Linked DNA regions of Schizosaccharomyces pombe. The protein of the gene in region 2 binds, or shares a complex with, the protein of the main gene of each other region. Each region holds a gene or a part of one and is shown on either strand. Other genes may lie near its edges. The genes, in order: qcr1 and qcr8. A codon is read from its position in the direction of its gene.

What was found.
Region 1: the proteins of qcr8 (region 2) and qcr1 are in contact, whole or in part, in a cryo-EM structure (PDB 8Q1B), measured with the Schizosaccharomyces pombe proteins. Residues at the interface, in NP_594714.1 of Schizosaccharomyces pombe: Trp13 (codon at 1,457), Trp14 (codon at 1,454), Gly15 (codon at 1,451), His16 (codon at 1,448), Leu17 (codon at 1,445), Pro20 (codon at 1,391), Lys21 (codon at 1,388), Gln22 (codon at 1,385), Lys23 (codon at 1,382), Gly24 (codon at 1,379), Ile25 (codon at 1,376), Ile26 (codon at 1,373), Thr27 (codon at 1,370), Tyr28 (codon at 1,367), Ser29 (codon at 1,364), Leu30 (codon at 1,361), Ser31 (codon at 1,358), Pro32 (codon at 1,355), Phe33 (codon at 1,352), Gln34 (codon at 1,349); in NP_595827.1 of Schizosaccharomyces pombe: Gln168 (codon at 2,246), Arg246 (codon at 2,012), Phe247 (codon at 2,009), Val248 (codon at 2,006), Gly249 (codon at 2,003), Ser250 (codon at 2,000), Glu251 (codon at 1,997), Ile252 (codon at 1,994), Arg253 (codon at 1,991), Ala254 (codon at 1,988), Arg255 (codon at 1,985), Asp256 (codon at 1,982), Asp257 (codon at 1,979), Asp258 (codon at 1,976), Gly341 (codon at 1,727), Asp430 (codon at 1,460), Glu440 (codon at 1,430), Gly441 (codon at 1,427), Leu443 (codon at 1,421), Tyr445 (codon at 1,415), Asn446 (codon at 1,412), Arg449 (codon at 1,403).

What each region holds. Positions count from the first base shown.
Region 1 is NC_003423.3:2,032,097-2,036,626, forward strand, and holds qcr1 (MPP complex beta subunit Qcr1), read right to left. Parts: upstream 2,804-4,530; 5' UTR 2,748-2,803; coding exon 1,374-2,747; 3' UTR 746-1,373; downstream 1-745. Other genes in the region: TIM22 inner membrane protein import complex and succinate dehydrogenase (SDH) anchor subunit Tim18, read left to right, coding at 4,004-4,483. UniProt on the Schizosaccharomyces pombe protein: Catalytic subunit of the essential mitochondrial processing protease (MPP), which cleaves the mitochondrial sequence off newly imported precursors proteins. Preferentially, cleaves after an arginine at position P2.
Region 2 is NC_003424.3:4,765,382-4,768,791, reverse strand, and holds qcr8 (ubiquinol-cytochrome-c reductase complex subunit 7), read right to left. Parts: upstream 1,737-3,410; 5' UTR 1,683-1,736; coding exon 1,651-1,682; intron 1,462-1,650; coding exon 1,444-1,461; intron 1,399-1,443; coding exon 1,185-1,398; intron 1,082-1,184; coding exon 1,067-1,081; 3' UTR 886-1,066; downstream 1-885. Other genes in the region: exonuclease Rex3, read left to right, coding at 1-885; prohibitin Phb1, read left to right, coding at 1,978-2,826; ypa2 (serine/threonine-protein phosphatase 2A activator 2), read right to left, coding at 3,285-3,410.

The DNA.
Region 1 (4,530 bases), on a different chromosome or scaffold from region 2:
AGTAATGACTAGGTTTAAAGCATAGAAGATATATATGTTTAAAATATATCTACAGACATCCAAGGTCGGGTAGCATAGTTGGTTATTGCGCACGACTGTTAATCGTGAGGTCGAGGGTTCGAGTCCCTCCCTGACCGGATATATTTTTGTGTAAATATATTTTGTATATACACAGTTAAACGAGTACTACCAGTTATTTTATTATTGTGCTCATTGAAAATTCTTTCAAAAATCATGTTGAAGCTTTTAACAAAATTTAAAATACCTCTTATCTTTTCTTACACTATATATCTTGTTAAATTTTTTGACAAACGTCTACGGCCATACCTAGGCGAAAACACCAGTTCCCGTCCGATCACTGCAGTTAAGCGTCTGAGGGCCTCGTTAGTACTATGGTTGGAGACAACATGGGAATCCGGGGTGCTGTAGGCTTTTTGCCATATATGTTTTGGTTTCCACTATCGTGCGAACGATTTCAATAAACAAACATTCGTGTTTTTTTCGCTTATGCAAATGGAAAATGTTCATACCAATTTTTAACTCCATAAAAGCCGATATTCCTTACAGAAGATTAACCCGATAAACCCTCGCAGTGATTGAATGAATTGAACGGAATGCTCGACGATTATTCGCAAAAATCTATTTTTATAAAATAAAACTACATAACTACATTATCAAGTCGACTTACTACTACATGAATTTTAACGCAAGTTGCTAATTACGAGCAAGCGCCCAAGAAAAAAGGTACAAAAAAGGAAGAATGAATTCAGATTAACTCTGTAACATTCAAAGTTATGTCGATAAATTTTACAACACGAACGAATCCGTTTCATTTGTAAACATGGGTAGGTTAGTAAGCGGTTTCCGCTAAATCAGCGATAAAGTGAATAGTTGCTAGAAAGAAAGCAAGAAAGTAAAAGAGATTTTCAAGAGACTGCTAAATGAGAAGGGAGATAGAAAAATAAGATGACAAGGAATATCACGGGAGGATAAATTGCAAGCAAAAATGAATGCAAAGGCAGTATAAGAAGTGTCCGAGCAATACACCTTGACAGATAATAAATGAGAGAAAAGTTTAACTCTGAAGAAAGGGGGTTTTCAAAGGTGATGCAGTAAGCAACCGACTTTGCACTATAAACAACTCTGGTATGCTCTCATCTACTGAAATGATATTACTTGTGTGCAAACAGCTTCATATCCAACCGGTGATAGTACTGATCAACACGTAAACAACGTATATTGGTGAATTCAGCTCATATATCTGAAGAGAGCGAAGAGGCAGACGAAATCATAAAGGCGTTAACAAACAATAGCAAAGGATGAGCCTTAAGATTAAATAATAGACAATAGTCAAAAGTCCCAAGAAAATGCGTTTACCAACGGTTCATAGAAATACTGCTACGAATACGGTTGTAGTCCAACAAACCCTCAATGGAACCAACAGCAGAAACAGCAATGTCCTTGTCCCAAATCATCTCGGAAGCAACGCGGGCTACATCTTTTTCAGTGATTTGACCGATACGGAGATCAACCTCTTGAGGGCTCATACGACGACCAGTTGTAAGCAATTGGCGACCAATGTCCTCTGCAATGGCGGTCGTTGAATCCAAAGAAAGTAAAAGCGAAGCACGGAGTTGTGCCTTGGCACGTTCAACCTCAGCACGAGTTGCAACGGTTAAACGAGCCCAGTTTTGGAGGGTAAAGTGGACGAGATCATCAATACGGCCAAGGTTCTCAGTGACAAGATAAATACCCCAAAGTCCAGTATCACTATAACTAGTACTGAAACTCATGAAGCTATTGGCAAGTTGATGTTGTTGAACAATAGTACTAAGACGAGAAGACAAATGGGGAGATGCTCCCATAGCACGGTCCCAGTTACCAATGATGGCTTGCATGACTAATGCAGTAAAGTAATCTGGGTGTTTCCAACTCATACCTTCAACAGCAATGGCAATGTTGGCAGTTGGTGAATCATCGTCACGAGCACGGATTTCAGACCCGACGAAACGAGGTTTGAGTCCACGAGGAGCACCAAGCGACAATTGCTCAGCTGAAGGCTCCAAATGGCCAAAATATTTTTCGGCGAGCTTTACAAGCTCCTCATGAGATATCGAACCGGCAGAAGAGATAATCATTCTATCACTACGGTAGTTGTCCTTAATATACTGGAGAAGGTCCTCACGGGTAAGAGATTCGATGTTTTCCTTAGGACCCAAAATTGTACGTCCAAGAGGATGACCCTGATAAGCGGTAGCATGTAAATGATCAAAGACTACTTCATCGGCCATTTTGTCAACCTCTTCTTGCTCTCTTAAGATGACTTGGCGTTCACGCTCAACCGCCGAGGCAGAAATGCTTGAATTTGTCAGGATATCGGCCAAAACGGCAACTGCATTAGGTACAGCGTTTTTGAACGCATGTGCATAATAAACGGTTTGTTCACGAGAGGTGTATGCGTTCAAATGTGCACCAGTATTTTCAAATTCCAATTCCAATGCTTTTTGGGAGCGATTTTTCGTTCCTTTGAACGCCAAATGTTCCAAAAAGTGAGCAGCGCCATTATTTTTTGCCGTCTCAGCTCTTGAGCCAGCATCAACGCCCACAAGGACGGTCGCTGTTTGGGCATACGGATGATGTTCCGTAGCAACTGTAAGCCCATTTTTTAAAGTAGTGGTTTCTGTTTTTGGTAAAGCAGTAGTCGCAAAACGACGTACTAGCTTTGGCAAATTCTGAAGCCTCAGCATAGTAATATCAATTCAAGCTCCTTTGGTTGGGTGGGATTCTGTGGATGGTAAAGGGTAAGTAGGTAGCAAGAAGGTATTCCGTAGAGGTGTAGCGTAATACGTGTTATCGAGGTCCCAAGTTCGAATTTCGGCAAATGACCAATTGATCCCATTTAATAAAAAAAGAAAACTAGCAATCCTTGAATCCCTTACTAGAATTTCCATGTAGAGAAAAATAAGAAGTTGACCATTCAAACAGAAACTTTCGGATTGCCTAGTCTTTGCCCTGTGCGCAATTTGCTATAAAGGAAGGAAACGAATGACCGTACAATCCAGTTCATGATATAATATATCTCTACTTAACATGGAGAATCTCATTGGTAAAAAACTATGTAGGGGATATATTGTTTCATCGGTATATTGAAAAGAATCTATATGACATTGAATCAGACAGGGTAAGACACTTCATCAGGTTAAGTTCGTATTCATCTACATTAAAAGGTTATTTATACTTAACGAAATTCTCTTTTCCATGATTTCCATTACAATATTTCGGTTAATACATTTTTAAAAAAATAACAGTCCAACTATAGAATTTTGACTAGCACCGAATCAAGCATTGTTATACATCGACTATTGAGTAGCTTGATGGTTTCTTTTTATGAGAATAGTTTTTTATATAAATGATATTAATTTAAATAAAATTTTCATCCTCTTAAAACCGTTTCTCTAACCTTTTTTTAAGCCAATGCAGCACCTTTATATTAGCATAATTGCTACAAGTAAATTTCTATAGCTTTATCTATATTATATTATTAAGTAAAAAGATTTACAGTAGATTATTGTTTTTTCACAATGTAGTGCTTTCCGTAAAATTTTTTTTGAAACTGCAGTAACTTTTGGTACTGTGTAATATTATAATAGATATTCAAACTCACCACAAAACCCATGTAATATTATATGTAGAAGGTAATTCGTTTTCAGCAGTGAATAATATTATTATAAAAAGTAATAACCAGGTTTTGAAACGACCTTAAAGACCGGAGATTCTTCTGAATAAACTTATTAATCTATTATATCTATTTAAATTTCTAGTCTTTACTCTATGTTATACAATTTTTCGTTTATGAGTAGATAGATTTAGGTTCTCATCGCCTATTTCCGGCCACTCCAAGCTCAACACATCGAGCTGTTGAATGGCCAATAATGTGGACACAAGATCCGCCAATACGAACTCACCTACTACCACCACCAGCTTTTCTTGGTTTACAAACAATATGTTACAAACACGTTTAGGACTTGGAGCACTTCGTCAAGGACGTCTTCTTTTTGCAGTTAAATCTTTTAGCACAACCAGTGTTGCGAAAATTTTCCCTCCTCCCCCTCAGACCATTAAGGGAACTGTTAATGATGCTGCTGTTTTCCCTCACCACAGTAAGCTCCACGGAAGCTATCATTGGGACTTTGAAAGAATTATTGCTATTGCCATGGTTCCTCAAGTCATGATCCCTTTGTTCACCGGAACTTCTCATCCCTTAATGGACGCTGCATTGGCTTGCACCTTGATTACGCATGCCCACTTGGGGTTTGAATCTTGTGTGATTGACTACTTCCCTGCAAGAAGATTTAAGAAGTTATCTCCTTTGATGCACTGGATCTTACGTGGATGTACTGTTCTTACACTTATTGGCGTCTATGAGTTCAACACGAATGATATTGGCCTTACGGAGGGTATTAAAAAGCTTTGGAAATCTTAAGCTTCTTTCCATGCAAACCCATATAACCCCACTTATTTTTTCATAAT
Region 2 (3,410 bases):
TTATCTCTTAAGAAAGCTCCGAAGAAAAATGAAATACAAGGATCAACTCCTGATGAGAAACTTGAGTCACTTGTTCATTCGGAAGAAGAATTGATTCTATGGGGATATAATATTGGAGACGTTGCACCAGTAAACCCGCCAGATGAACTTCGTGAATGCGATCGATGTGGTACACGGTTTGCGGATCCTCGAGGACCATGTACATATCATTGGGGAAAACTGTTTCGTGAAAAGCAAGGGGGGGAGAAGATTCGTACATACACTTGCTGTGGTGTAAAAGAGGGCGATTCGTCTGGTTGTATTATAGAAGACAACCATGTGTTCAAATACCGACATCTTCCGTATCTTGCTAGCGTTCATCCATTTTCCTACTTACCAGACAGTACAAATAGCAAGCAATTAAGTCATTGCGCGTTAGATTGTGAACTATGCTACACTACGAACGGGATGGAATTGGCTCGTTTGACGGTGGTAGCAAAGGAAAGCATTATTATGGATGTGTTTATAAAGCCTAAAGGCAAAATTTTGAGTCTCAATACTCGATTTAGCGGGATACATGATGCCAAAGAATTAGAATCAGGAATTACCATGGATCAAATGTATATTAAAATAAAGGAACTTGGCATGAATAAAAATACAATTTTAATAGGACATGGTTTAGAAAACGATTTGAATGCGATGAGGCTTATTCACAAACGTGTCATAGATACTGCTCTTCTATTTACGCATGCCAGAGGCCCGCCGTTTAGATATTCCTTAAAATATTTGACTAAAAAATATCTGGGAACAACAATACAAACTTCTACACACGATAGCGAAGAAGACGCTGTTTCAGCATTACAACTTGTCTTTTATAAGACAAAATCAAATGAAAGTCAAAACTAAGAGTAATAATGTTTTCAAATTCAAGAGATAGATCATATCACAAAGTAATTTTGTTGGATATATAGATTTCTGATACTAAGCATAATGAGAGGAGAGAGATAGTAATTGTAAACCCAATAAGGAAAGGGTAGGGAAGAATTTTGTAAATCCTTCTACCAAAATGAATACTTCATTCTCATCATTATTCCTCCACCAACTAAACCACATATTAGTAAAATGACAATTATTGACACAATTTAGAAGTATAGAAAAATGCTGCAAACCATAGCTGCTTATCGATTCTTCAGTCATTAACTTACGTGTCTTCCATGTTTGGAATTGAGGAATTCATTACGCTCCTTCCCCCAACAGTAAATATAGTAAGCTATTCCAAACGGAATTGCTACGTATAGACCTTCAGTCATGACGCGACGAAACATATTTTGCGTAGAAGTTTTGAAGAAGCCGGCCATTGGTCTCTGTTGAAATGGGGAAAGGGAATATGTTATGATTCCTTTTTGTTTAGGTCCACCTCTTATTAAAGTAAGTAAAAATGTATCAAATTGTTATAGCACTTACAGATGGCCCCACCATCCTCTATTCATGTGTTAGTATAAATAAAAACGTTCAATGATATTCTCAGCAGCTATTTGAATGTATATAACTTCGCTGACGAAAATGGCTTTACGAAATAAACACCAATTGTGTCCACCGTCTCACGCTATAAGCGTCAAAGAAAAGTCATATAACCCATTATAAACAGAAACTGCTTTAAGTTGCACTTACAAATAAGTTTTTCCTCCAGCAGCACCACCCATTTTGTTAAAACAATAATATATTGATGATTGCCGTTACAAAGTCAGATGTTTGTTAAGGGTAAGTGTGCGGGTCTGCTAGACCAATAATAATTCAGACGTTTACAAATTCTTGGTTTTTTATTCAAGATTTTTATTTAGTTTTACTATTAAAATTCTAAATAATAAGATCATGTATTTATTAATCATGAATATAGATTTTCCTAGAGGTTGCAGTTAAGTCATACTTAGTCTTGCTCAAACGGACTTCCCTTTCAGTTTGGTCTTTTAGTCCAGCGCTCAACGTACTATTAAAGAGATGGCTGTAGTACTGGAGAGAGTTGCACGTTATGCAATACCAATAGGTATTGGATTTACTCTATTACAATCTTCGATTTACGATGTACCGGGGGGAAAAAGAGCAGTTTTGTTTGACCGTCTGTCGGGTGTGCAGAAACAGGTTGTTCAGGAGGGCACACACTTTTTGATTCCATGGTTACAAAAGGCAATTGTTTATGATGTACGCACACGTCCACGAAATATCGCAACTACTACGGGTAGTAAAGATTTACAGATGGTTTCTTTAACATTGCGTGTATTACACCGTCCCGAAGTTGGAATGCTTCCTCAAATTTACCAAAATTTAGGCTTAGATTATGATGAGCGTGTCTTACCTTCTATTGGAAACGAAATTTTAAAATCCGTAGTTGCTCAGTTTGATGCAGCAGAGCTCATTACTCAAAGAGAAGTAGTTTCTGCCAAAATTCGCCAAGAACTAGTTCAACGAGCTACCGAATTTGGAATTCGGTTGGAAGATGTATCCATTACTCATATGACTTTTGGAAAAGAATTTACGAAAGCCGTAGAGAGAAAACAAATTGCTCAACAAGAAGCCGAGCGTGCTAGATTTTTAGTAGAACAATCCGAACAAGAGCGACAAGCTAATGTTATTCGCGCTGAGGGTGAAGCAGAAGCGGCTGATATTGTTTCCAAAGCACTTGATAAAGCCGGTGGCGCTTTAATCCAAATTCGTCGTCTCGAGACAAGTAAAGAGGTGGCTACTGCACTTGCTAATAAAGGTGCACAGGTCACTTATCTTCCCTTTGGAGCTGGTTCTAATGCCCAAAGTTCCAGTGGTTCTGGGTTGCTTCTTAATGTAAATCCTTAATTCATTCCATGTATCTGCTTCTAGCAGCAAATTCATAAGGTTTATTCGAGCTCCCCTAAACATATCAGCTTTATCTTATTATCCCTTTAAAATTAAAGAGATGTTATATAAAAGTTGTACTTTTCCACGCATTATGATTTTGACAAATTTGGGTTCTTAACGAAAATAAATATTTCCAAATTTTTTTATTTCAGAACTCAAAATTATGATTTGTCACCTTATTTTTAAAACGACAATTATTTTGGGTTTTGTGCTGATGAAATGGCTATATTAATGCTGCTAAAATTAGGGTTGATTGTTTATGTAGAGTTTTTTTAGCATAATGAAATAAACAAATATGCTGTACTGTTGGTAATTTTATTGACTTTAGATATTACTTTTAAAGTAAACAGACAAATATGGGTATCGCATAAATTCGTGAAGATTCGTTAAAAACGCCTTTTTTCCCTCGAGAATTTTTAATCAAACGGAATCCTACTTCCATTATTTTTGGCAGCAGAGATCGCACTTGGTATCTTGATGCCACAACAGTCAGCATAATGAGAATGAACATGTGTCACCTCAGAATCATCACCGTCTTGGGG